Linked DNA regions of Cricetulus griseus. Each later gene encodes a partner of the first gene's protein in a complex. Links are inferred from orthologs where the notes say so. Each region holds a gene or a part of one and is shown in the gene's direction. Other genes may lie near its edges. The genes, in order: CCR4-NOT transcription complex subunit 2, Cnot8, Cnot10, Cnot7, Cnot9 and Cnot11.

Evidence for each region.
Region 2: CCR4-NOT transcription complex subunit 2 (region 1) and Cnot8 share a complex: the UniProt entries of both Homo sapiens proteins name them as parts of the CCR4-NOT complex. The link is inferred for Cricetulus griseus from reciprocal best matches to the Homo sapiens genes CNOT2 and CNOT8.
Region 3: CCR4-NOT transcription complex subunit 2 (region 1) and Cnot10 share a complex: the UniProt entries of both Homo sapiens proteins name them as parts of the CCR4-NOT complex. The link is inferred for Cricetulus griseus from reciprocal best matches to the Homo sapiens genes CNOT2 and CNOT10.
Region 4: CCR4-NOT transcription complex subunit 2 (region 1) and Cnot7 share a complex: the UniProt entries of both Homo sapiens proteins name them as parts of the CCR4-NOT complex. The link is inferred for Cricetulus griseus from reciprocal best matches to the Homo sapiens genes CNOT2 and CNOT7.
Region 5: CCR4-NOT transcription complex subunit 2 (region 1) and Cnot9 share a complex: the UniProt entries of both Homo sapiens proteins name them as parts of the CCR4-NOT complex. The link is inferred for Cricetulus griseus from reciprocal best matches to the Homo sapiens genes CNOT2 and CNOT9.
Region 6: CCR4-NOT transcription complex subunit 2 (region 1) and Cnot11 share a complex: the UniProt entries of both Homo sapiens proteins name them as parts of the CCR4-NOT complex. The link is inferred for Cricetulus griseus from reciprocal best matches to the Homo sapiens genes CNOT2 and CNOT11.

The regions. Positions count from the first base shown.
Region 1 is NW_023276806.1:139,743,795-139,747,294, forward strand, and holds part of CCR4-NOT transcription complex subunit 2, read left to right. Parts: intron 1-331; coding exon 332-479; intron 480-1,131; coding exon 1,132-1,314; intron 1,315-3,408; coding exon 3,409-3,488; intron 3,489-3,500. UniProt on the Homo sapiens protein: Component of the CCR4-NOT complex which is one of the major cellular mRNA deadenylases and is linked to various cellular processes including bulk mRNA degradation, miRNA-mediated repression, translational repression during translational initiation and general transcription regulation.
Region 2 is NC_048600.1:72,177,965-72,182,137, forward strand, and holds the end of Cnot8 (CCR4-NOT transcription complex subunit 8), read left to right. Parts: intron 1-686; coding exon 687-797; intron 798-2,495; coding exon 2,496-2,645; 3' UTR 2,646-3,673; downstream 3,674-4,173. UniProt on the Homo sapiens protein: Has 3'-5' poly(A) exoribonuclease activity for synthetic poly(A) RNA substrate. Its function seems to be partially redundant with that of CNOT7.
Region 3 is NC_048597.1:221,687,502-221,691,001, reverse strand, and holds part of Cnot10 (CCR4-NOT transcription complex subunit 10), read left to right. Parts: intron 1-1,399; coding exon 1,400-1,550; intron 1,551-3,500. UniProt on the Homo sapiens protein: Component of the CCR4-NOT complex which is one of the major cellular mRNA deadenylases and is linked to various cellular processes including bulk mRNA degradation, miRNA-mediated repression, translational repression during translational initiation and general transcription regulation.
Region 4 is NW_023276807.1:45,216,052-45,219,551, forward strand, and holds part of Cnot7 (CCR4-NOT transcription complex subunit 7), read left to right. Parts: intron 1-639; coding exon 640-833; intron 834-3,500. UniProt on the Homo sapiens protein: Has 3'-5' poly(A) exoribonuclease activity for synthetic poly(A) RNA substrate. Its function seems to be partially redundant with that of CNOT8.
Region 5 is NC_048595.1:427,755,938-427,759,866, forward strand, and holds the start of Cnot9 (CCR4-NOT transcription complex subunit 9), read left to right. Parts: upstream 1-1,129; 5' UTR 1,130-1,515; coding exon 1,516-1,539; intron 1,540-3,929. UniProt on the Homo sapiens protein: Component of the CCR4-NOT complex which is one of the major cellular mRNA deadenylases and is linked to various cellular processes including bulk mRNA degradation, miRNA-mediated repression, translational repression during translational initiation and general transcription regulation.
Region 6 is NW_023276807.1:8,702,280-8,706,325, reverse strand, and holds the start of Cnot11 (CCR4-NOT transcription complex subunit 11), read left to right. Parts: upstream 1-1,246; 5' UTR 1,247-1,346; intron 1,347-3,032; 5' UTR 3,033-3,328; coding exon 3,329-3,839; intron 3,840-4,046. UniProt on the Homo sapiens protein: Component of the CCR4-NOT complex which is one of the major cellular mRNA deadenylases and is linked to various cellular processes including bulk mRNA degradation, miRNA-mediated repression, translational repression during translational initiation and general transcription regulation.

The DNA.
Region 1 (3,500 bases):
AACACATGAAATTGCAGAATTTCTTAAAGGCATATTTGTATGTGCAAGTTTCACAAATATGCCCTTAATGAATTTGACAACAGTTTGTATTATGTAACATCTCATTTGTTATAATCATTAACATAGTTTATTGTAACATAGTAATATGAAAAATACAAAAAGATACTCAAAATACTAAATTTTAGACTAGAACTTTTGTTGAAAATCAAGAGTCCATTTGCAGTGAGTTATTAGGTCATTTTAAAATGTTTTAGATTGCAAACTCCAGAAGATGGATACCAATTTCATTCCTGATGGCAATGAATTTCCTTCTTCTGAATTTTCTTATTAGGTGCACTAGGCCTTCCAATGAGGGGGATGAGCAACAATACCCCTCAGTTAAATCGCAGCTTATCACAAGGCACTCAGTTACCGAGCCACGTCACGCCAACAACAGGGGTACCAACAATGTCACTTCACACGCCTCCATCTCCAAGCAGGTATTTATTAATGGACCAGAATATTTTCAGATTGTATTTTTGTAGAGTAATCCGAGCTTTAATTTTTTAATACAGTAATTAGTTACTTGATTTTCTGGTTCAGTGCCTTGCACTAAGAAAACAGTTCCTATGCTCATTTTGTTTCATTGCAAAGTGATAAGTATAGTGTAGTGTTTGATCTTGAAGCTATGTGCTAGTTGTCATCTGAATGGATCAAGGTTTAATCACCTCCTGGGGAGCTTTTACAAAAGCTATATATATATATATATATATATATATATATATCTCTTCCTCAATGATGTTCAATTAAAAATGACTCCCCAGATTTGTTTGCTCCCTCACCACACATCTATTGCTTAATTAGAGTAAAATAAAACAGATAACATATATGTATTATTAATATCAAGAGAATAGAATGATAATGAAATTTGAATGAAATTATTTTAGATATATATGGAAAACATTTATATTTTATATCAGAGTTGTCCCAGTAGTTCTCTATGACAGCACCTTTTAAAGTTTCACTATAAAATTAGGAATACAACTGAAATGTATATTTGGAATTCTAGGGGTTAGAGCAACTGATTATTTATAGAGAATTTTAATGAGTGATTGTAGAGAGCTTATTTAGTATAATGGACTTCTTTTTCAGGGGTATTTTGCCTATGAATCCTAGGAATATGATGAACCACTCCCAGGTTGGTCAGGGCATTGGAATTCCTAGCAGGACAAATAGCATGAGCAGTTCAGGGTTAGGTAGCCCCAACAGAAGCTCGCCAAGCATAATATGTATGCCAAAGCAGCAGCCTTCTCGACAGCCTTTTACTGTGAACAGGTAAGATGTTTATTGATACTGCATATATTGCCTTTTCATATCCAGCCCTCTGTTTCTGAGTTGTGGCTTCTGTGCTACAGGTGTGTTTATCATGTATGTGTGAGCTAAGATCATTGCCCATCACAGTCCTTAACCTCTGAAAGATGTTATTATTTCAAAAAGCATGTTAAATCTGTTGCTGATGGTAGTACCAGAAAGGGAATGTTCTTGGGTTGTCACCAAGCAAAATTTTACTGTTTTATCCTTCCATTTGTTATTAAGTAAAGTTTATCTACTTGAGTTGTGGGTTTATGAACATGACTGGAGGCAGGCATGCTTGATTGCTACTGCCATGCTTGAGTTATGCGTTGTTTAGATGCCTTCTGAGCTGAAATACTTTGGGTACTTACTAAGGAAAGACTTCACAATTATACTATTTCAAAACAGTACTCTTAAATTTTGTGTCTAGAGTTACAAAACAAAACAGAAAGCTGGTGTGTATGGTTTTTTTTTTTTTTTCATTTTGTGCTATCCACTGCATGTACTGTACAAATAAGAACAATGATTCATTTTGCTAGTATGTTGAAGTGGTTTGGGTAACAAGAGAGTTGTATCTGAAATGTAAGGCTTCCTTACAAAAGCAACATAGTAAGTTTGAGTTGTGTGTCATATTCTGTTTATACTTAATTTTTATGAAAAACTATACAGTGAAAGGACCTTCATTTAGTTGTTGCTCCCCTTCATCTCAATCAGTTTCTTTTATCCACTGTCAAATCTACACTAAAATCAGTGCTTAGCACACTTTCTGTTCAACCTTTATCCCATAAACTCCATTATTCTATACAGGTTTTACATACCTAAGTTTTTAAAAAATTATTTGCAGCATGTTGTTGCTGCTCTTACCTTTTTATTTTTATAGCGTCCTAACTATTGCTTGGGCTTTATTGTATCTTTCTGCATTCTTGTTCATTGAAGATATTTTTAAATTTAAAGTTTTGCTTTTATTTTTCACATTTTAATTATTCAGAAAATACTTTCTGTAAAAAGTGTCACTGTAATAAAACTTTTAATCCCTGCTTCTATGTGCTGCTGATATATAAAATTGTTTCATTTGAATTCTGAATCCATGTTTGAGGTACCTATACAACCAGCAGCTCTAGTGTAATAGGAAAAAAAAAAAGTTTATTTATACTACTGTGCCCTGGAATGTTGGTTCGCTAGCTGCATAGCTTTTCAAAGATGGCTAGTTCTACAGACTTAGACAGAATGGTTACATCTTTTACCTTCAAATGCTTGGCCCTGTTCACCGGCATGCTGACCTATCAGAATACTACTGAGTGATAGAGATGGTGCATAGTTTCTTTATAGAAACTTATTTAGATTCTGTCTTTTTTTGTTTTGCCCTGATTAGGTTTGTACAAAAAAGAAAAAGGGGGTTAAATGTAATTGTTTGCAGAAATTGAGTTGTACATTAATTCAAAATTAGGGGTGCTATAGAAAGATTTTTTTCTGTTAAGTAGATGAAAACTAAGCTCGCTTTGTCTGTCTGTCTGTCTGTCTGTCTGTCTACCTGTCTACCTATCATCTGTCTATCTGAAATGATGTTTTAGAACACTGAATTCAGTTTTCTTTTTTTTTGAGTACCTGGTCAGTTTAACTCAGGTCAAATGCAGAGTGAATAAGACATGGACTCATGGGAGCGAGTAGTTGGGAAAGACAGAGGTTGTAAAGAGAAGACTTAACACTGAAAAGCAAGCTTGACCAGTCAGGGAAGAAAAAGCAAGTTTTGGTGCAGCGGGGTGGGGTAATCTTAAACCTACCTGCATTCTGAGGGCGGTGCGCTAATGGTACCCTTAACCTCTGTTCTTCAACATTCATAAATACATTCTTTTTTTGTTTTTAAGATTAATTTATTTAAACTTTGGTTCTTTCTTGTTCATTGAAGAATTTTAGAGAAGTTTTTAAATAAAAGTGAAGATTATACTCTAAATTAGCATTGGTTTTGAAACATATTGTTATTTTATATGAGGAGACCAAAAGTATATACTTTTGTTTTTCTTCATCTCTAAGTTAGTGTTCTTACTGTATATCTAAAATTATTTTCTATGTACCCAGTATGTCTGGATTTGGAATGAACAGGAATCAGGCATTTGGAATGAATAACTCCTTATCAAGTAACATTTTTAATGGAACAGGTAAGCTAATCC
Region 2 (4,173 bases), on another chromosome or scaffold:
AGAGGGTATCGATAAAGCTGAGTGGCTCAGGGCTTCCTCTGTAACTGTCTTTGTTGGAACTTGAGCATCAAAAGAGCCCTATTTCTTGTATCTTGAGGCTGGCTGCCTGAGAACCTCACAAAGCAGTTGGTGACATGAAGTCATGTGCAGTATGTTATGACAGTCCTGCACTGTCCCACATTCTCCAAGGTTTTTTTTTTTTTTTTTTTAAACTTTAAAAGTTTAAGAAGGCCCGATGGTGGTATTGCATGCCTTTAATCCCAGCACCTGGAAGGCAGAGGCAGGCAGATCTCTGTGAATTTGAGGCCAGCCTGGTCCACAGAGTGAGTTCTATAGGACAGCCAGGGCTACACAGAGAAACCGTGTTTCTGAAAAACAAAACAAAAAGTTCAAGAAGTTGGACCTGTGAGATGGCTGAGTGGGTGAAGGTGCCTGCTGCCAAACTTGATGGACCTGAGTTTGATCTCTGTAACCCTTGTGGTAGGAGAGAACTGACTTGGGAAAGTTGTCTTCTCATCTCTGCAAGCACATAGTGTATTGTTTGGGAAGGAGAGTGAAAATCTGAAAAATGTCTACCTACTGAGGCTTGTTAGATGAATGGCCCACTGCTAAATGGACTCATGAGTAGTCTTACTTGAGTTCAGAATAGTGTTGGTATGTGACATCTCTTGTTTTCTGTCCTCTAGGGAGGTCTTCAGGAGGTGGCTGACCAGTTGGATTTGCAGAGAATTGGAAGGCAGCATCAAGCAGGCTCAGACTCCTTGTTGACGGGGATGGCTTTCTTCAGGATGAAAGAGGTAATGTGTCAGTGTGAGGGCTCTTCGTTTCCAGGCAGCTTCCCCTTTATTTCCTTCTGCTTTCTACTGTAGGAATGCTGTTAGTCTACCCACTTGGGCCAAGGATTATTTCTCTAATGAAGAGTGAATTTCTCTTCTAGTGTATTTACCTACTCTTTTAAGTTCTAAAATGTTTAAAGAGGAAGAATATGCTTTGAAAAATTACCATGAAAGCTGGGCAGTGGTGGTGCATACCTTTAGCCCCAGCCAGCACTTGGGAGGCAGAGACAGGTGGGTCTCATGAGTTCAAGTACAGTCAGGGCTATCTAGAGAAACCCCACCTCAAGGAAAAAAGAAAATTACAATTTTGTTGACATTTTTCTTGTTTTTTTCTTGTGTCTGTGTAGCCCTGTTGGCTTTAAACTCTTATGTATATGAGATATACTTGTTCTGCTCTTGAATGTTGGGATTAAAGGCATATGCCTGTCCTTGAACCCATGACTATCTCCTTGCCTCAGCCTCCTAAAATCTGGGATTACGGCTGTGAGCTGCCATGTCTAGTTAGTATTTCTTTTTTTTTTTTTTTTTTTTTTTTTTGTGCTTTTACCATTATTATGAGTTCAGGTTTTTATTTAACTAGTTTTCTGTGGCGTTGACAAAATAACTGAAGCCATCAACTTCAAAAGACTAGTTTATTTTGGTTTACAACATGAGATATTTTAGCCAGTGATTGGCTCTGTCTGCTCCAGCAAGCTAGATCATCAGAGTGCTAAGGCCTGTTCTTCTGGTGGCTTGGGAACAGAGGAAGAGGCTGAGTACAGGGCCTGGCCCTGACAACTTCACATCCCTCTACTAAGTTTCACCTCCTCAAGTTTTTACCATTTCCTAGTAACCCTACAAGTTGGTGCTAAGCTGTCAACAGGACTTCTAGGAACATTTTAGATCTAAATAGTAACAATTGTAACAATTGTAAAAGTGGTTGCCAACTGGCACATTTGGTGATGCCTTGGAGATGTTTCCTTTTTTCTTTTTCTTTTTTATTTATTTATTTATTTTTTTGTTTTTGTTTTTGTTTTTTGTTTTTTTGAGACAGGGCTTCTCTGTGGCTTTGGAGGCTCTCCTGAAACTAGCTCTTGCAGACCAGGCTGGCCTTGAACTCACAGAGATCTGCCTGCCTCTGTCTCCCGAGTGCTGGGATTAAAGGCGTATACTACCACTGCCTGGCATGGAATGTTTCTTGTTATACTTAGCAGAGATGGTGCTTCTGACCAGGGCTGTGCTCAGCATCTTGTGATTGGACTGGGCAGCTTCTGCCCAGTGATGTTAAGGTTGAGTGTTCATTGTCCGTGATCTTTTCAGTCACATCTTAGCTTCTCGGGTGCTAGGATTACATGTGTGTGCCACCTCACCTAGCTTTCCTTTTTGTGGATAAGGAACCAAGATGGAATGGAGTTGAAGTAACTTGGCAAGCCTGAGTTCGTAATCACTGCTTTGCTTGGCAGTAGCCCATGGTCCCCAGCAGTGACAAATCATAGGAATGCCAAGTCTGTTGAGGAAGCAGAGCCCCAGTGTAGGGAAAGGAACAGGAAAAGCCTTCGTGAGAGATGTTTGGTGTCATTGCTGATTTAGTGTCCAGTCTGCTGAGTGTCAGGGCTTGAGAAGCTGGGAGGTGGCATGACTTCTGGCCCCATTCTCAGCTGATTCTGTCCTGTTCTGCAGCTATTCTTTGAGGACAGTATTGATGATGCCAAGTACTGTGGGCGCCTCTATGGCCTGGGCACGGGAGTGGCTCAGAAGCAGAATGAGGATGTGGACTCTGCCCAGGAGAAGATGAGCATCCTGGCCATGATCAACAACATGCAGCAGTGATAGCGCGTGCACCGTGCCATCTGTGCCATCCGCCCCAGCCATTGACCTGCATCTGCTCTAAGCAGAGACTTTGGGTTTCTGTTTAAAGATGCCTTTATTTTAGATCCAGAAGAAGGGGGTTTGCTCTGAATTTGTAAACAAGTCTTCCTTTTCCTCATGCCCACGTCCCTCTGCTGCCTCCTGCCACCAGCATCCATGGCTTCATGGACACCTTTTTAAACCTCCAGGATGTCTGAAACAAACCAGTAAAATGTATATGACTCTTACACGTTGTCATTCTTTTTTCTTTTGGCTTTGCTGCTCTGATGAAGATTCTCAGATGAGCTGAGGCTGCCAGGGAACATGGTGTATGTTCTTGGGAAGTAGGTCCGCAACAGCAGGCTCTGCCCTGCTTTTGTCAAACTTCTCCAGGACAGAGCAGTCCTGACTGTTCTGAAACCTGGAAAGTTCTGAGTCTCCTTTTTGTGGCATTAAGCTGGCAGCTGAGCCTCACCTCAAGTCACCTTAGTTTTCGGATGAACTGCCCTCGACTAGGTCATGCTCCATGTCCATTTTGTTCTCAGCAGGGTGATCTCAATCAGCTGTGTTCTCTTAGCTTCCATTCCCATGCTTTTACTTAGCAAGCCGGAGATGTCAAGTGGTGGTAAAGCTGAGCTCCGGAATGCTAGGAAAGTCACAGGAGTCACTTGTGAGCAGGGCAGTAAGAGACTTCACCTCAGACCTCTGAGAGTCATCCCACAGCTGTCAGAAGCCGATGATTTTTTTTTAAGGTTAGGCATTTTGGAAGCACACTTTTTAAAAATGACTACAGAAAGTACAATTTTGAGAAAGCAGAAACTTCTTTGGAAGGCGGAGACAGACGGCAGCAGCTCCCTGAAGCAGGAGTGGTCTTACATCTTAAAAGCTTGTGGGAAACTGAATTTGAAATGATTACAAAATGTCAACTATTAAAGCTGATATTTAAGATGCTTGTAAATATTATTTATGTTTTTAATTTTGTAAAATAAAGATTGCTTTTTAACCACTGGCATGAGGTGTGGTCTTTGGTAGCTAGGATCTGGTATCTGTGATGGGATTGGCTTACCTCAGAACCAGTCAGCCTTGGAAGGAAGGTCTCATTGAGGAAGCTTCATACCCTGCTGGCTGTTGGGCCTTCGGACGGTAGAGTAGCTTTAATTGTATTCTCCCTGGCTACTCACAGTGGGTTACTCAGTGGAATTCTGTAGGGCATTTGAACTTAACACTTCCTAATTGATTTCCCCCCCCCCCAGCCTTTTCTGTTCACAAAAAAGGTAAAGCTGTCAGTCAAGTATTGGGGCCCTTCTAGAGGATTCTCTAGAATCCTCTAGGGGGTCTTAAGTTACATAAGCTGGCCCTGACCTCTAAGCCGTCCTTCTGAATAGCAAGGAGTGTAGGTCTGCACCACTGTACCTGAAGATCTAGAACTTTGGCTGGCAGGTTTGCACTTGACATACCTGTGAGGACTGTGGTGAAGGCAGCAGAGTGGCTCTCAGTAACGATGCCTTGG
Region 3 (3,500 bases), on another chromosome or scaffold:
CGTAAATTAGAGACTTGTGAAATATAAAGAGATTAAGGGCAGCCTGGTTTACAAAGTGTCTTCTAGGCCAAGCCAGGCATGTGCCTGCCTTTAACCCTAGCACTCAGGAGGCAGTACTCTGAGTTCAAGGACAGCCAACACTGTATAGTGAGACCCTGTTCCAAACAAACAAAAAAAGCAATGATAATAAAATACAATATAATCCCTACACTTGTTAAGATGAGGCAGGAGGATTGCTGTGTGTCTGAGGTCATCTGGGGCTATTTTATTTTCAAAAATGGAAAGATAGGCAGGAGAGATGGCTTAGCACTCAGAGCACTTACTGCTCTTGAGAAGACCCAGCACACATGGCAGCTCACAGCATCTGTTCGTTTTTACTGTGGGACTAAGTCCTTAGATATGCTCCCTTGGTCTTGGACAGCATAATTACAATTCTGGTCTCCCATATTTGTAAGGTAAATATCTGCATTCTCCCTGTGTAGCTTTGACTGGCCTGGAACTTGCTGTGTAAGTGAGATTCAAAATGTTTTGTCTAATAGGATTTCAATGTGAATGAAACAGATAAAAATAATTTCTAGTATTTGGGACTAATTAAAACCTAGAGTTACTTTGGCTGGAGAGATGGCTCAGTGGTTAAGAACTTCCAGAGGTCCTGAGTTCAACTCCCAGTGACGACATGATGGCTCACAAGCATCTATAATGAGATCTGGTGCCCTCTTCTGGTATGCAGAATACTCATATATAAAATACAAATAAATACATTTTTTAAATTAAAAAGAAAACCTAAGCCGGGCGTGGGTGGTGCACGCCTTTAATCCCAGCACTTGGGAGGCAGAGGCAGGGGGATCTCTGTGAGTTCGAGACCAGTCTGGTCTACAAGAGCAAATTCCAGGATAGGCTCAAAAGCCACAGAGAAACCCTGTCTCAAAAACCAAAAAGAAAAAAAAAAGAAAACCTGAAGGTACTTTTTTTTGTTGTTTTGTATTTTGTTTTAGAGACAGGGTTTCTCTGTGTAGCCCTGGCGGTCCTGGAACTTGCTCTGTAGACCAGGCTGGCCTTGAACTCAGGGATCTGCCTGTCCCTGCTTCTCAGTGTTGGGATTAGGGGGTGTGCCACCAGCCTGGTGAAGGTACTATTAAAACGTAGGAAAATAAGAAAAAGAAGTGTTGGAGCTGGGCATGGTAGCACACATCTGCACTCGCAGCTACTCAAAAGATTGGCCTGGAACTCACTGTTTTGCCTTGGCTGACCTTGAACTTAGAATAGTAGTTCTCCTGCCTGGGCTTTGTAGGTGCTGAGGTTACAGGGGTGTGCTATACGTCCGGCTGAATTCTTTCATTTTTGCAGGTTGTTTTCTTAACTGTTGTTAAGAGCACATTCTGCCTGGATTGTTTTGTAGGTTCACTCAGCTGTTGAAGAAATGGATGGATTAGATGATGTTGAAAACAGCATGTTGTATTATAATCAAGCAGTCATTCTTTATCATCTGCGGCAGTATACAGAGGCCATATCTGTTGGTGAAAAACTCTATCAGTTCATAGAACCTTTTGGTATGTTATCTGTCGGGCCAGAAATTCATCCTTTCTAGCTTTTTTTTTTTTTTTTTTTTTTTTCTAGATGACCTAAACTAAAGCTGTATGTCAGCGTTTAATGGGAATAGCTCGGTCAGCAGAATGCTTGCCTTGCAAATGTAAGGACCTGGCTGGGTTCAATGCCTAGAAGCCACCTAAAAACAGCTAACATGGTAGTATATGCTTGTAATATAGTGCTGGGGGCAGATAGAGGTGGATCTCTTGAGTTTGCTGGCTAGATGGCCCGGCCTGCTTAAGCGCTAGGCTATTGAGATACCTGTCTCAGAAAACTAGAGTCAAGGTCTAGAGAGATGGCTCAACAGTTCAGAGCACTGGCTGTTCTCCTAGGACATGAGTTCAATTCGCAGCACCCACATAGCTGCTCACAATCATCTGTCACTCTCAGAAAATCTGAAGCCCTCTTCTGGCCTCCTCAGGCACATATAGGCAGGTAAAACAACTAAAGAGAACGAACGGTCACTAAGGATCAACCCAGAGATCCCTCTTGTCTTCTACACATGCATGCACACATGCAACTGCATACCTGAGCACACACATATAAAATGATCAAAATAAAGCTGTTTAAGCCTTTCTAAATTTAATTTTAGAATAGATAAACTTCTATGACATTTAGAGAAGTCCTGTTTCCTTTAGCACTCCTCACCTGAGTTTTAAAGGGGCCCAAAATATCCGGTAGACCAGTTGTTCAGGGTCATCCTCTGACACTTACTGGGTTTGAGGACAGCCTGGATTTCATGAGATCCTATCAAAAAGGAAGGAGGGTAGGAGGAGGAAGGGAAGGGAAGGAATGACCTTTTGGAGAGTAGAAAGATGTTTGTCCTTTCTTTGCTATTGCATACTCCCTTAATGACTAGAGCCTTTTTACCATGGCACACTTGAGAAAAGATGGGGAGGGCTGGAGTGATGCTTGGTGTTTTGGAGCACTTGCTGCTCTTGCAGAGAATCGGGGTTTAGTTCCCAGGCCTACATTTTTCCTCAGCATGCACTAGGTTTACACATACATACACAAAGGCAAAACATTCATATGCATAAAGTAAACATTTTTTAAAGATTTTTTTAAGGATTTTATTTATTTATTATGTATACAACATTCTGCTTCCATGTATATCTGCACACCAGAAGAGAGCGCCAAATCTCATAACGGATGGTTGTGAGCCACCATGTGGTTGCTGGGAATTGAACTCAGACCTGTGGAAGAGCAGTCGGTGCTTTTAACCTCTGTGCATCTCTCCAGCCCAAAGTTTTAAAAGACCATTTTAACATTGGAGTGTTAGAGGACAGTGTAGTATTTCGTTTCTCTGTTGCCCTGCTGAAATTTCTGCATGTAGAGAGCTAATACAGGTTTGTGTTTTATTTCTGATACTGGCCTTAAGAATTGGGGAGGTTGGAGTCTGAGGAGAAGAGAGGAGCCAGCAGATGAGCAGCAGGCTGGTATGTGGTTAGAGAGCACCAGTCCACAAGGAGTCTGCTCGTTGTGTTAGATCAGACCATGAAGGAGACATCCGAGGCTCTGAACACTGGTCTGTTGGTGGTTCCTATACAGCAGGTGGTGGAGTGTGGTCCCTGTGCCCCTGTGACACTTGGGAAGAGGATATGTAGCCCTTTGACAACTCATTGAGCAGCTGGTAACTGACTCTAGGGAACTGTTTTAAGTTGCCTGTCTCTTTCAGTCCTGATGGCTTGGTGACTGGTAGACTGGCCAGGAGAGAGGCAGTGGTAGGGACTGTGTGACAAGAACTAAGTCCCTCCATGAAGCTATGTCAGAATTGGTCCCCACTGAAAGCATTGACAGTGCTTTTCTGAATTCTGCCAACAGTTCACAAAATACTATGAATCTGTACTGTGGCTAAGAGAATATAAAGTTCAGTGTAAGTCATTTGGATACATTTATTTTTGTGAAAATTATTG
Region 4 (3,500 bases), on another chromosome or scaffold:
GAATTCTCCTGCTAAACTAAAACATAATTTTCTTAGTATCACAAGTTTTTAAAAAAGTGCTTCTCTGAGGGTGCTTGCTTAAAATAGGAATATCTATACATAGACATTCCATGTATTAGAGGTATAACTTATCCATAATTGGGGCTGAAACTTTCTGTTTGGGCAGAGAGGGTTACTTTATAGGCAGCAAAAAATTCCTAGTTGTCATTTATTTCTTGGATGATAAGGAATTGCAGTACAGAAATAATAACAGCCTGTAAGAGGGAGTGGGAATCTTGACATGATTTCTGTGGGTTTTCTTTTCCTTGGATACGAAGCAAATGTTTGCTTGAGTTTATCATGAGTTATCTGTACAGGGTAATAATTTATTGATAAATTTTAATAAGAAAAAGTAGTGAGTCCGAGGCCAGCCTGGTCTACAAAGGGAGTGCCAGGACGGGCTCCAAAGCTACAAAGAAACCCTGTCTGGAAAAAAAAATAAATAATATTCTTCATACTTGAAGAGTACCTAATTGAGTATGAACATACAGAATATCATTGTAATAGAATTCTCTGAATTATATCTGAAATTATCTTGAGAGTTTATGGATCCTATTTATGCCCATTTAGTAAATAATGAATCTTAAAATTATTTTTCAGGACACTGAGTTTCCAGGTGTTGTTGCAAGGCCCATTGGAGAATTCAGGAGCAATGCTGACTATCAATACCAACTATTGCGATGTAATGTAGACTTGTTAAAGATAATTCAGCTAGGACTGACATTTATGAATGAGCAAGGAGAATACCCTCCAGGAACTTCAACTTGGCAGTTTAATTTTAAATTTAATTTGACGTAAGTGGGAAATAAATATATAACCCCAACTTTTTGTTTCTAGTTTAATTTTAGGAATTGGGTTTAAATGTAGTGAAATTCTAACTGAATAAATTTCCCGGAAATTTATTAAATTTAGAGTTTCAAAAGCTTAGGCTTATTATTATGAGGCAAAAGGGATTGAGATAATAAAAGCTTCTAATTTCAAATACCATTCAGTGATAGAGATGTTATTTCTAAACTGTGACTGCTGCTTTTCCAGAAAGTTGTAAAATTGTATTTTTGTTGTTGTTTGCTGTTATTTAAGGTGCTGCAGATTAAACCTGGGTCCTAAAACATGAATCTTAGGATATTGATTTTACTATTACATTTTGTTGTTGTTTGGCTCTTTTGAGACAGGGTCTTACTACATAGCCCAGGTCTCTACGTAGACCATGCTGGCCTCAAACTCCCAGAGATCCATCTGCTTCTGCTTCCCAAATGCTAGGATTAAAGGTGTGTGTTACTACACCTAAAACTTTGACTTTTTTGTACCCAATATGAAATTCAAAAGTGGGGAGGCACATTTGCTGCTCCCAATCAAGCAGGTACCATTCAGCTACAACCCCATCCCACTGTAGATTTGTTAAGATTTTGTTGAAATAGTCACTGTTCCTGTGAAGAGATTTTTTATTTTATTACTCTCATACTTTGCATCTTAAGTAGATACTTACTTACCATATGCAATAAATTGTTTCTTGGAAAGTTAGTTATGTTTTCTTTTCAAACTCTGTTCTTTAATGACTGCTCCCATGTAACCCATGAAACCTCTTGATCTTCATACAGAAAATGTAATAGTATTCTTAAACTTTTCATATACCAGACTCTGATATGTAATTCAAATCTTGGGTCTAAAGTCTGTTGCCTTCATTTAAATAGTTCTACATTATTTATTGTAGTCTTGGTAGCTGAGGGAACTTCATGAAGTAGAGTCCATCCTTTTGACATTATGACACATGTTTTTATTTGCAAAGGTCATACTCAAGAACCATGCAGTTGAGATTTTAGCAATGAAAACAAAAATAACAAAATTTTTAAAAAGTTTACACTTTTGTGTTGGGCTACATTGATAACTCATGGAGCTTATGTGACTTCTGAACTTCAGATTATAAGTTCCCAATAGGGGACAGGGGCGTATTATTTCTATTAAGGTAAGGAAATAAAACATACAGTATATTCTGCACTATGTAACAATATTTTAGTGCCTTTCTGTTTGGTAGCCTGTATTTGTATAATAGCAGAGTCTCGTTGGAAACATAGCAACAGAAACGAGAAGAAAATTAATGCTAGTTAATTGTAAGAATTCCTTGATTAATATGCACTATTTAATGTGTAAGACCTAATGAATAGCAAGCAGGACTGATGGTTTTAGTGGTGTTAGTGTCAGTGGTACAGCTGTGTGTCTTTTAAATGCATTGTGCTAACTATAAATAATACTGACAGTATTTTAATGTCTAGTACTATAGTGACATTAGTCTCTGTAGACTCTATACAGGCTAAAAGTGCTCATCTCCACTGTAATGTTATAATGTTTCTTTAATACTACAAATCTAGAGCAAACTGAAAATTGCCTTCCATCCTTTTCTCAAATGAAGATTCTTTTCTTTAGTTTTTTGTCATTTTTATTTCTTTAAAGTTCTTTTTTCCCCCCAAACTAAACATTAGAGCATTGATTTAGTTTTTTTGTTGTTGTTTTTTTTTTTTTAGTTTTGTTTGTTTATTTAAAATAAGATACTTGGTTTGGAGCAGTACTTAATACATCAGTGTGTTGGATGGTAAAATTGGTAGTTTTTGCTAGATAGTAGTTTTTATAGCAGTGGCTTTCATTTTAGTTAGTGTCTGAGCATGTTTTGTTTTTCCTTATTCACACAAGTAGTTTCACTGCCAAGTGTGTGCTACTATTTATACTAATGATAATGCCATGAGAAATGGTAGAGAAAAGAGTATAGAGTATAAAGGCTGATGAAAGGGCTCAGTGCATAGATGCCCTCCACCATGCTTGTTGACCTAAGTATGATTCTCGAACTGATATGGTAGGAGAGAACTGACTGACTAAAGTTGTGCTTTAACCTTCACATGTGTCTGTGATGAACATGTATAGGCACACACACACACAAAATAGATAAAGGTGAAGTTTAAAAAGTTTTAGAAGACTAAGTGAAAAATGTTAAGTAGAGCAAAAGCCATTGAGAAGATAAAAATGGAACTGCCTGATGTGGAAAATGTCGTGATAGCATCTTGGATGTGTTGAAGAATGGTGAAATAGACCTTGATGAATGCCTAGAAGGAATGTGTCAGTGTGTTAGGCTCTACAGTACAATGAGGAATGTTGTTCAATGTTATTATAACTTTCTGTCCTCTCTGTTGTCTCTGCTTGTAAATGTTTTTTGTGCTTAATTCTCATACTGGTCCAAGTCAGGGTGGTTCTAGGTTTGCCAGTGTTGTTTCTGGTTTTACCATTAGCATCATGAGAGTAAATGCAAGTCATTATTTATCACATGTAGATAACAAAGATTTGGAATATGGAAAGATATTTGTGGTTACAGTATATGTGTCACATTAATCGATACTTTGAGAAGATTTGAATAGATACTTCAGAGTATTGTACATACAATAAGAAATACCTGCACTCACTTCGATTTTTAGTTA
Region 5 (3,929 bases), on another chromosome or scaffold:
TAGGCAATGTCATGCATAGGCATGTCCCAAATTTAACATGGCAAGTGACTCACATAACATACAAACACACATGTATTTATTTGTATGTCTGGCCCAGAACCTTCCTCTTACCTTTAACCCAATAAACCCAAATTGCTCCTTAATATTCTCTTTCAGCTGGACTCATAAGGGACTGTAGCTCGCCAAAATACACCCGAAAACCATTACAGCACAACTCTCCAAAGACAGGGAACTTGATTTAAAATTGGTAAATTGGACATCGCCGGTGTTGGCTAGATACTGGAGGCAACCAAATAAATGCACGACAAGCATTCCACTCCCTGACTTTCAATGAACAGTTTTTAAGAGGAGGAGGGAAGTAACGAAGGGCCCAGAGGGCGAATGAGTATCACACATCCAAGGTCTGGTGTGTGGCCACGGGAAGTCACCTGTAAAGACAGCAGGCCTTGTTAGGAGGCAAGCCGAGACCACCGCAGCCCTGCTCAACAGGAGCCGGGCTTAGAACGCGGAAAGCGAGTGGCAATACGGACCGTGTTGAAGGAGAGGGAAAGTGGAGGGGAGACACTCCAATGGGCGCACCTGTAAGGGACCCGGGGAGCGTCCAGGGACCCGGGGCGGGCTGAGCAGCAGCCGGGCGAACTCCGGAGTGGGCGGACCGCCGGCTGTGGGGGGGGGGGGGTGAGGCTGGGGAAAACGGCTCAATTCACAGGCTGTCCCGGCCCGCCTTACCTGTGCCGGAGGGTCCCAGCCTAGGACGGGCCAGCCAGAAGCACAGGGTTTCCGCAGAGGGGGAGGAGCCGAGGGGCTCGGAAGGAAGGGGGCTCCCCTGGACCCAGAAAGGGAGGCCGTGCTCTCCTCTACACTCCTAAACCCGCTGATGGCGGGAACTGTGACTATACGCAAACACGTACGCACGCACGCACTCCCGACGCAGCCAGTCCGGGCGCGTGCGCGTCAGCGCTCAAGCCCCGCCCCCGAGCCCTCGGCCCGCCCCTCCCCGAGCCCTGCCCCTCACCCGGGCGGCCCGGCCCCTGCCGTGACGGAACCGTAGGACACATGCGCACTCTCCATTTTACCGACTTCGGACCTCCCACCATTTTCCCTTCGCTCGGCTCAGCCCGGTGGAGCATGCGCAGTTCGCGTCCTTCCATACCGCCGGCCTTTTCCCGCCCTTCTCTGGCCTTAGGAGGGAAGTCAGGGTCCGCGCTCCTCTGGGGATATACCTGCGATGCCGGGGGGTTACTAGGACCCGTAGGTTGCAGACGTCGTTCTGATCCTGACTCTCGAGTGTCAAAGGGCGTACATACTCTGGGACTATTAGCTAGGCCGAGGGCCAGGAGGCGGGAAGGGGCTGTGTGGGTGGAGGGTCAGAGGTGAGAGGTCAGAGGGCTGCCAAGGGGGAGGAGCGAGCCGGAGGCGGATGGCGGCTCTTCATCTCCGGCTGCACAGCCGCTGAAGCTGGGACGCGGGTCCGGCGCGTCGGGCGGGAGGAGGAGAGCGGCGGCCGCTCCCAACATGCACAGCCTGGCGACGGCGGCGGTGAGTGGCTGCGCCCGGATGCCCGTCTCAGCCCGCTTCCTAGTTCCCGGAGCCGGGCCCCGAGTCCAGCTGCTTCTGCCCCTGGCCGCGAGGTCCGGGAGTCTCCACACGGCGCCCTGGCCGTGGCGGAGTCCGACCCTCCCAGCTATCCCTGCCGCCGCGTCCGTCTCTTCTCCTGGCCCCTTGCGCGCGGCCTCTCGCGTTCTTTTCCGGCGCCGCGGCCTGGTCCCCGCGCGGCCTCGGCAGGCCATTCATTGATTCACGTGAGCCCGGCGTCAGTTTCTGGGGGCCACGGTCGAGTGCCGGGCCTCGGCGGGGATAAGAATATCATTCCATGGCCATTCGCTCTGGGCCCCGGCTCCGGGAACACGTCGCCTAGGCACAATCTCAGTGGGAAGGACACGGCTTCTAGCTCAAAAGCCGGAGCCCCGGAGTTCAGGATGATTCCTTCTGGCTTACGGTCCTCTGCGTTTAAAGCCTTCCTCGCACATCTCGTTTTATCTTTTAACAAGAAAAGCTAGTCGCCGTATTACACCTCCCTGAAGTCATCCTGTGGCTTTTGGTTACTTTTAGAGAAAGTAGATGCTTTGGCCTACAAGCCCCGTATGATGTGGTCCTTAGTCACGTTTTAATGGGCTCCGTTTTTGTCACTTGCTCCTTAAGCTCCGACCAAAAGTGCATGCACTTTTCCACTGAATGACACAGTCTCTAGTTTCTTTGCCTGGAATTGTCCTTCTTAGGACTGCCTCCATACATACAAGTCTGTCCCCAGAGTGACTTTCTGACCATGTTCACAGTAGCTTCTAACCCCAACATTTACTCTTGTATTGATTTTCCAGTGTGTAATTACTGGATTATTTAACTTGTGGGATGTCTGTCTCCCTCTCGGGGTCAGGGACAGGATTGTGTGTGTGTGTGTGAATTCTGTTTACTTGGTTTTCCCACTGCTAGAACAGTTCCTACAAGGTAAGCACTATGCACTCTGACAACCGTATGGAAAGAGGGATAATTTAAGAACACTTACAAGCCTGGTAATGGCGCATGCTTTAAATCCCAGCACTTGGAAGGCAGAGGCAGGTGAATCTCTGTGTTTGAGGCCAGCTTGTTTCACAGAACAAATAGAGGGCTGCCAAGGCAAAACGGAAAAAAAAAAGTTCTCAGTATGTATTTCTTCAATTATATTTGCAGTGCTGTACATAGATTAAAAAACTTGAACATTTGTTATGCTGTTTGACCCACGTGGCGGCTCTGACAAGTTCTTTTGTACCACTCATCTGGTAGGATATTTAGTGAGGATACTGAAGAATAAAAATTTGAGGCAGCGGGCGTTGGTGCCGCATGCCTTTAATCCCAGCACTCGGGAGGCAGAGGCAGGAGGATCTCTGTGAGTTCGAGGCCAGCCTGGTCTACAGATCAAGTTTCAAGATAACCTCCAAAGCAATACGGAGAAACTCTGTCTCGAGGGGAAAAAAAATTGAGGCAGTTCCTTCATAATCCCGTATTCCCATAAGCATCCAAACTCCTTATGTTATTTTGATCTGAGCAAGAAAAACAAAATTATGATGTACTAGGATCACATGCAGCAATACCCACAAAAACCTAAATCTTTTGAGAAGGCGCTTGGTTTTTGTTTAATAATGAAAACTAGTGTGTATGTGTTCATATTGTGGGTGTGCATGTGTGGAGGTCAGAGTCAGTTTGGGGGTTGTTCCTCTTTACTATATATAGCTAGGGAGATAGGAAGTACTATTAAAGGGCAATGAATGCAGGTGTTATTTACTAGAGAAACAGTAGCAAAAGACACTGAGGTAGTGTGCTCTTGTCATTATGGAATATATTCTAATATCTGTTATCAAAAAAAGTGTTTTGTTTTTTTTCCTATCGTGGGCAGAAAACAATGAAGGGCTATTTACAAAATTAGTAAGTGTAAGGGCATAAACGGACATGGCTAAGCAGGTGAGAGGTCAAATCCCAGCACTCACATAAAAAGTCAGCTGTGACTCCCATGTGTGCAACCCCAGACAGCTCTGGGGTTAGAGAATCAATAATCACTAGGGGTTGCTAACTACTAGCCTCGCCTGGAAGGAATATGGCCAGGAATGATTGAGGAGCTCTCTGTGCACACATATATATACCACACACATGCTCATACCATGTAAAAAAGTAGAATGCTACTGATGTTTAAAAAAAAAAAAAAAAGATGAGATGCTTGCCTCCAAGCCTGGTGACCTGAGTTTGTTGACAGAACCCACTGGTGGGAAAAGAGAAATAACTCCCACAGGTCATTCTCTTAACTTTCACACATGCACCATGGCACATACACGTACTCAGTAAGTAAATGAGGAAAAGAAAACCCCCAAAACTAAATAGTTGGTCTTTGGCTAGGTTCT
Region 6 (4,046 bases), on another chromosome or scaffold:
CAATACTGAAGCTGGACATGAACATGTCCCATGGCCTGGCTGGGCCAGTCCTCTATACAGGGCAGAGACGTCAGCCCTCATATCTACAAAAGAGATCGTGAATGGCCAAGCTTTCATCTCATTAGACACCCAGATTAGAAACCCCCTCAATTCAGTAATGCGTTTGGATATCCTCAGACACTCACAGTGAACTACTATGTCAGATATTCTTAGAGGTGTGTGGTTTGGAATGACCCCAAATGGAGCTGGGCATGGTGGGAAGCTGAGACAGGAGGATGAGCATTGGAAAGTATTCTGTGCTACAGAGCAAGTACAAAACTAACTTGATTACTTGCCAAGGATACGTTCCCTCCCACATATATATATATATATATATATATATATAATATATATATATTCTTCTATTATTCTCTAGTCTCTGATATGCTTTGGGACCTCAGTTAGTATTAAAGAAGTGTTCCTAAGGGCTCATAGGGTCAGTCCACCAGGGACTGGTTTCTCTCCCGTTGTCTCAGATCATGCAGCCTTTGTCTTTGGGAGGCTGGGTAGCTATAATACTCTTTCTTAGCTCTCACAGCACTCAGATCCATCCCTTCTGAGCCTACATCCCAAGTCTCACAAGCCAGGGTGAAAGGCTTTCATTTCTATTTTTAGCGTGTGCTATGGTACATGTGTGTAAGTCAGAGGATACTATGTGGGAGAGGGTTCTCTCCTTCCACCACGATGGTTCTGGAGATCAAACATCAGGGTTGATGACAAGTGCCTTTATTTACCTGCTGAGCCATCTTGCTGACCCTCTGTTAGATCTCAGACCTGGGACGAATGGTAAACTGACGTGCCTATCGAACATATCAAAATATATATGGCTGCTAGATTCTCCCCGAATCCCTCAGTCCCCCTGTCCTGAACTCTCCAGCCCAGGGGCTGGGCCGCCCTTCCCTCAGAGGCTCTTCCCTGTATAATCCAGCTATTTTGACTAGGCTGGCCCCTTTGCCTCCTGGCTGCTAGGCTCCAGATCTCCTGCTTTGCCTCTCCATCTCTCCTCACATGGGACAGCTCTGTCTGCTGGTCATGTCCATTCTGGACTCTCCCAGATGTCTCTGTCTCTGGTATGCTCTCTGACATAGCTACAATAAACCTTCTCTTCCACCCTACTGTGTCCTCCTTTTTTCATTTCCTTTTTTCATTTGCCTTCATGTCTTATTTAAATTTTTTTCTTATTTGTTTTTTTTTTCATTTAAAGAGTTCAAAGGCAGACTACTCCCTGACCACCATAGTTTCCTGTACTGGGCTGACACCAAGGCTCCACCCACACGTGCCATGGATTTCCCTTCTCCGCAATAAAGGTTAGACCCGAGGGCTCTCTCTTATCACATCACCTCACTTTCTCCTACTGTCTGATTCTTCTCACAGATTCCAAAGTTTTGGATCCCAAGAGGGCCTGTTTCGTACAGATTTATTTTGTATTTTCTTTCCTCTAGTGTTCTCCATCCCCAGCAATAAGAAACAACAATCCAGTGCCTCCATCTCCTTCTTCTTTTTCGGTTCCTTGACTTCTCCTGTCAGCTTAGAGGCTAATGTGAAGGACAGCACCATAATTGTTCTTCTCATTGTAATTTCTCCCTTACCTGGGCAGATGACATAGCCTCCAGTTGCATGTCTTATATCAAAACAAGGGCCATGCAACTGATACCACATCGTGCTTACAACCCTGTCCTACACCCGCTGCATTTGGGGATTACAATCTATCCTTTGGTCTGTAAGTCATATGGGACAATATGGGGCATCCCCATTCATTAAGGAGGCATCCCGCTCTGTACTGCATAGAAGAAGACGGCCATTATGGGATCCTCCTCATGGACACTCCATCCTGCCTTGGAGCAGCCTTTCTTCTATCTTTTCAGCCACAGTAGGATGAAATGTAGGGCATGAAAATGAAACAGTAGGGTTAATGCAATTGTTACTGCAGCAACAAAGCAGGCCAGTCCATACCACAGAGGAAAAGCCTCACTGGGATTGCTTGGTGTTTGCTCACCCTCAGAGGGCTCAGCTCAGTGGTAGATCTCATCACCCACAGCAGAGAAAACACAAATTCTCCTTTCAGATGCATCTTTGGTTCTTTTATGTCCCTGTTTATCTATTTACTCTAGGTATTGCACCAAAACCAGACCTCAAGTGTAGCTGGGTGAGCCAATGAGTGCAACTGGGGTGGCTGCTTACAGGAGCACGAGGATGGGCTCCCCACAGGAGCAAACATACTAGGCTTTTTCTTTCGGGCCACCAACCAGCTCCTAAATCATGACACAGGGGAGACTTAGTATTAGTTGTGAATGCTTTGGCCTTAGCTTATGCTAACTTCTGGCTAGCTGTTTTCTTTTTTTCTTTTAACTTAAATTAACCTGTTTCTCCTCATCTATGTTTTTTCTTGGGGCTTTTTAACCTTTCTTTTTTTGTTTTTGTTTGTTGAGACAGGGTTTCTCTGTAGCTTTGGAGCCTGTCCTAGAACTTGCTCTGTAGATCAGTATTTCTTGAGTAAACGAGTATTTCTTGATACTCTTTCACAGATTTTTGTTTCCTTCTATTTATTTATTTATTTATTTATTTATTTGTTTGTTTGTTTTTGAGACATCGTTTTTCTATGTAATTCTGGCTATTCCGAAACTCACCATGTAGACCAGCCTAGCCTCGAACTCACAGAGATGTGCATGCTTCTGCTTCCCTAGTGCCAGGTCCCTAGTGCCAGATTTTTGTTTACCTAGCCATGCACAAACACTTATGTGCAATACGATCCCATCTCTGAGAATATGAGGAAGCCTTGAGATTTAAACTGGTTATGAGAAACCTGTTTTTTATTTGCATATAATTTCACCACGAACCATCAAGACTGTCCTATGAAGCCAGTTAAGCATTTAAGGCCCGTTTTTCAAATCACAACTTAGGCAACATTTACTGGGCCGGTTTGGCACCACCCACCACCCAGAGATAGCCTTCGCTGGCTTTAACCACACCCTCGCCCACCCTACCTTACACAGTACAAGCAAGGCAAGACTAGACGAACCCATCTCCGTCTACGGGCCCGCCCTCCAGAGCGCCCCTCCCACTTCCGGACGTGGCGCCCCGCCCACCTCGCGTCTCCGGAACCTGGGCTCGGCCTGGCTCTATCGATCTGCACTGTTTCTCGGTTCCGATCGTCTTGACTTCCGCGCTGTTTTGTTTGCGACGCTGTCGTGTAACGGTGCGCTTTACGGCCGCGGGGGAAGCAGCCAGCCGGTGCCAGGGCCTTGGAGCCGGGAAGCAGGGAGGGCGAGCGAGCGGGCGGGCGAAGTTGATGCCCGGCGGCGGGGCGAGCACGGCGTCTGGCCGGCTTCTCTCCGCAGCGGATCAAAGAGGAGCGCGGGAGGCGGCGGCGGCGTTCCGGAGCGGTCCAGCGGGCTCGAGCGGAGGCCGAGGCGGAGCAGGTGGCCCCGGGCCAGGGAGTGGAGGCCCCGGGGGCCCCGCGGGCAGGATGAGCCTGAGCCCGAAGGAACTCTCGAGCCTGCTTAACATCATCTCTGAGGAGGCGGGCGGCGGCAGCACTTTCGAGGGCCTGTCCACCGCCTTCCACCACTACTTCAGCAAGGCCGACCACTTCCGCCTGGGCTCGGTCTTGGTGATGCTGCTGCAGCAGCCGGACCTGCTGCCCAGCGCGGCGCAGCGTCTGACGGCCCTCTACCTGCTGTGGGAGATGTACCGCACCGAGCCGCTCGCCGCCAACCCGTTCGCCGCCAGCTTCGCGCACCTGCTCAACCCGGCGCCGCCCGCCCGCGGCGGACAGGAGCCCGACCGGCCCCCGCTCTCAGGTACCTCCCTCAGCCAGCTGTGCGGGCGCCGCCAGCTGTTGCAGCTGTGCGGGAGCTCACCAGCTAGGAAAATGCAGCCTATTCGTAGAGAGGATCACCCCCCCCCCCACACACACACACAGACACACAGGGGAGGGGCAACCAAAAGTTCTAAGTTTTGTTGTTGTTGTTGTTTTTAACTTCACTGCACTCCAAATGATCCCTCCC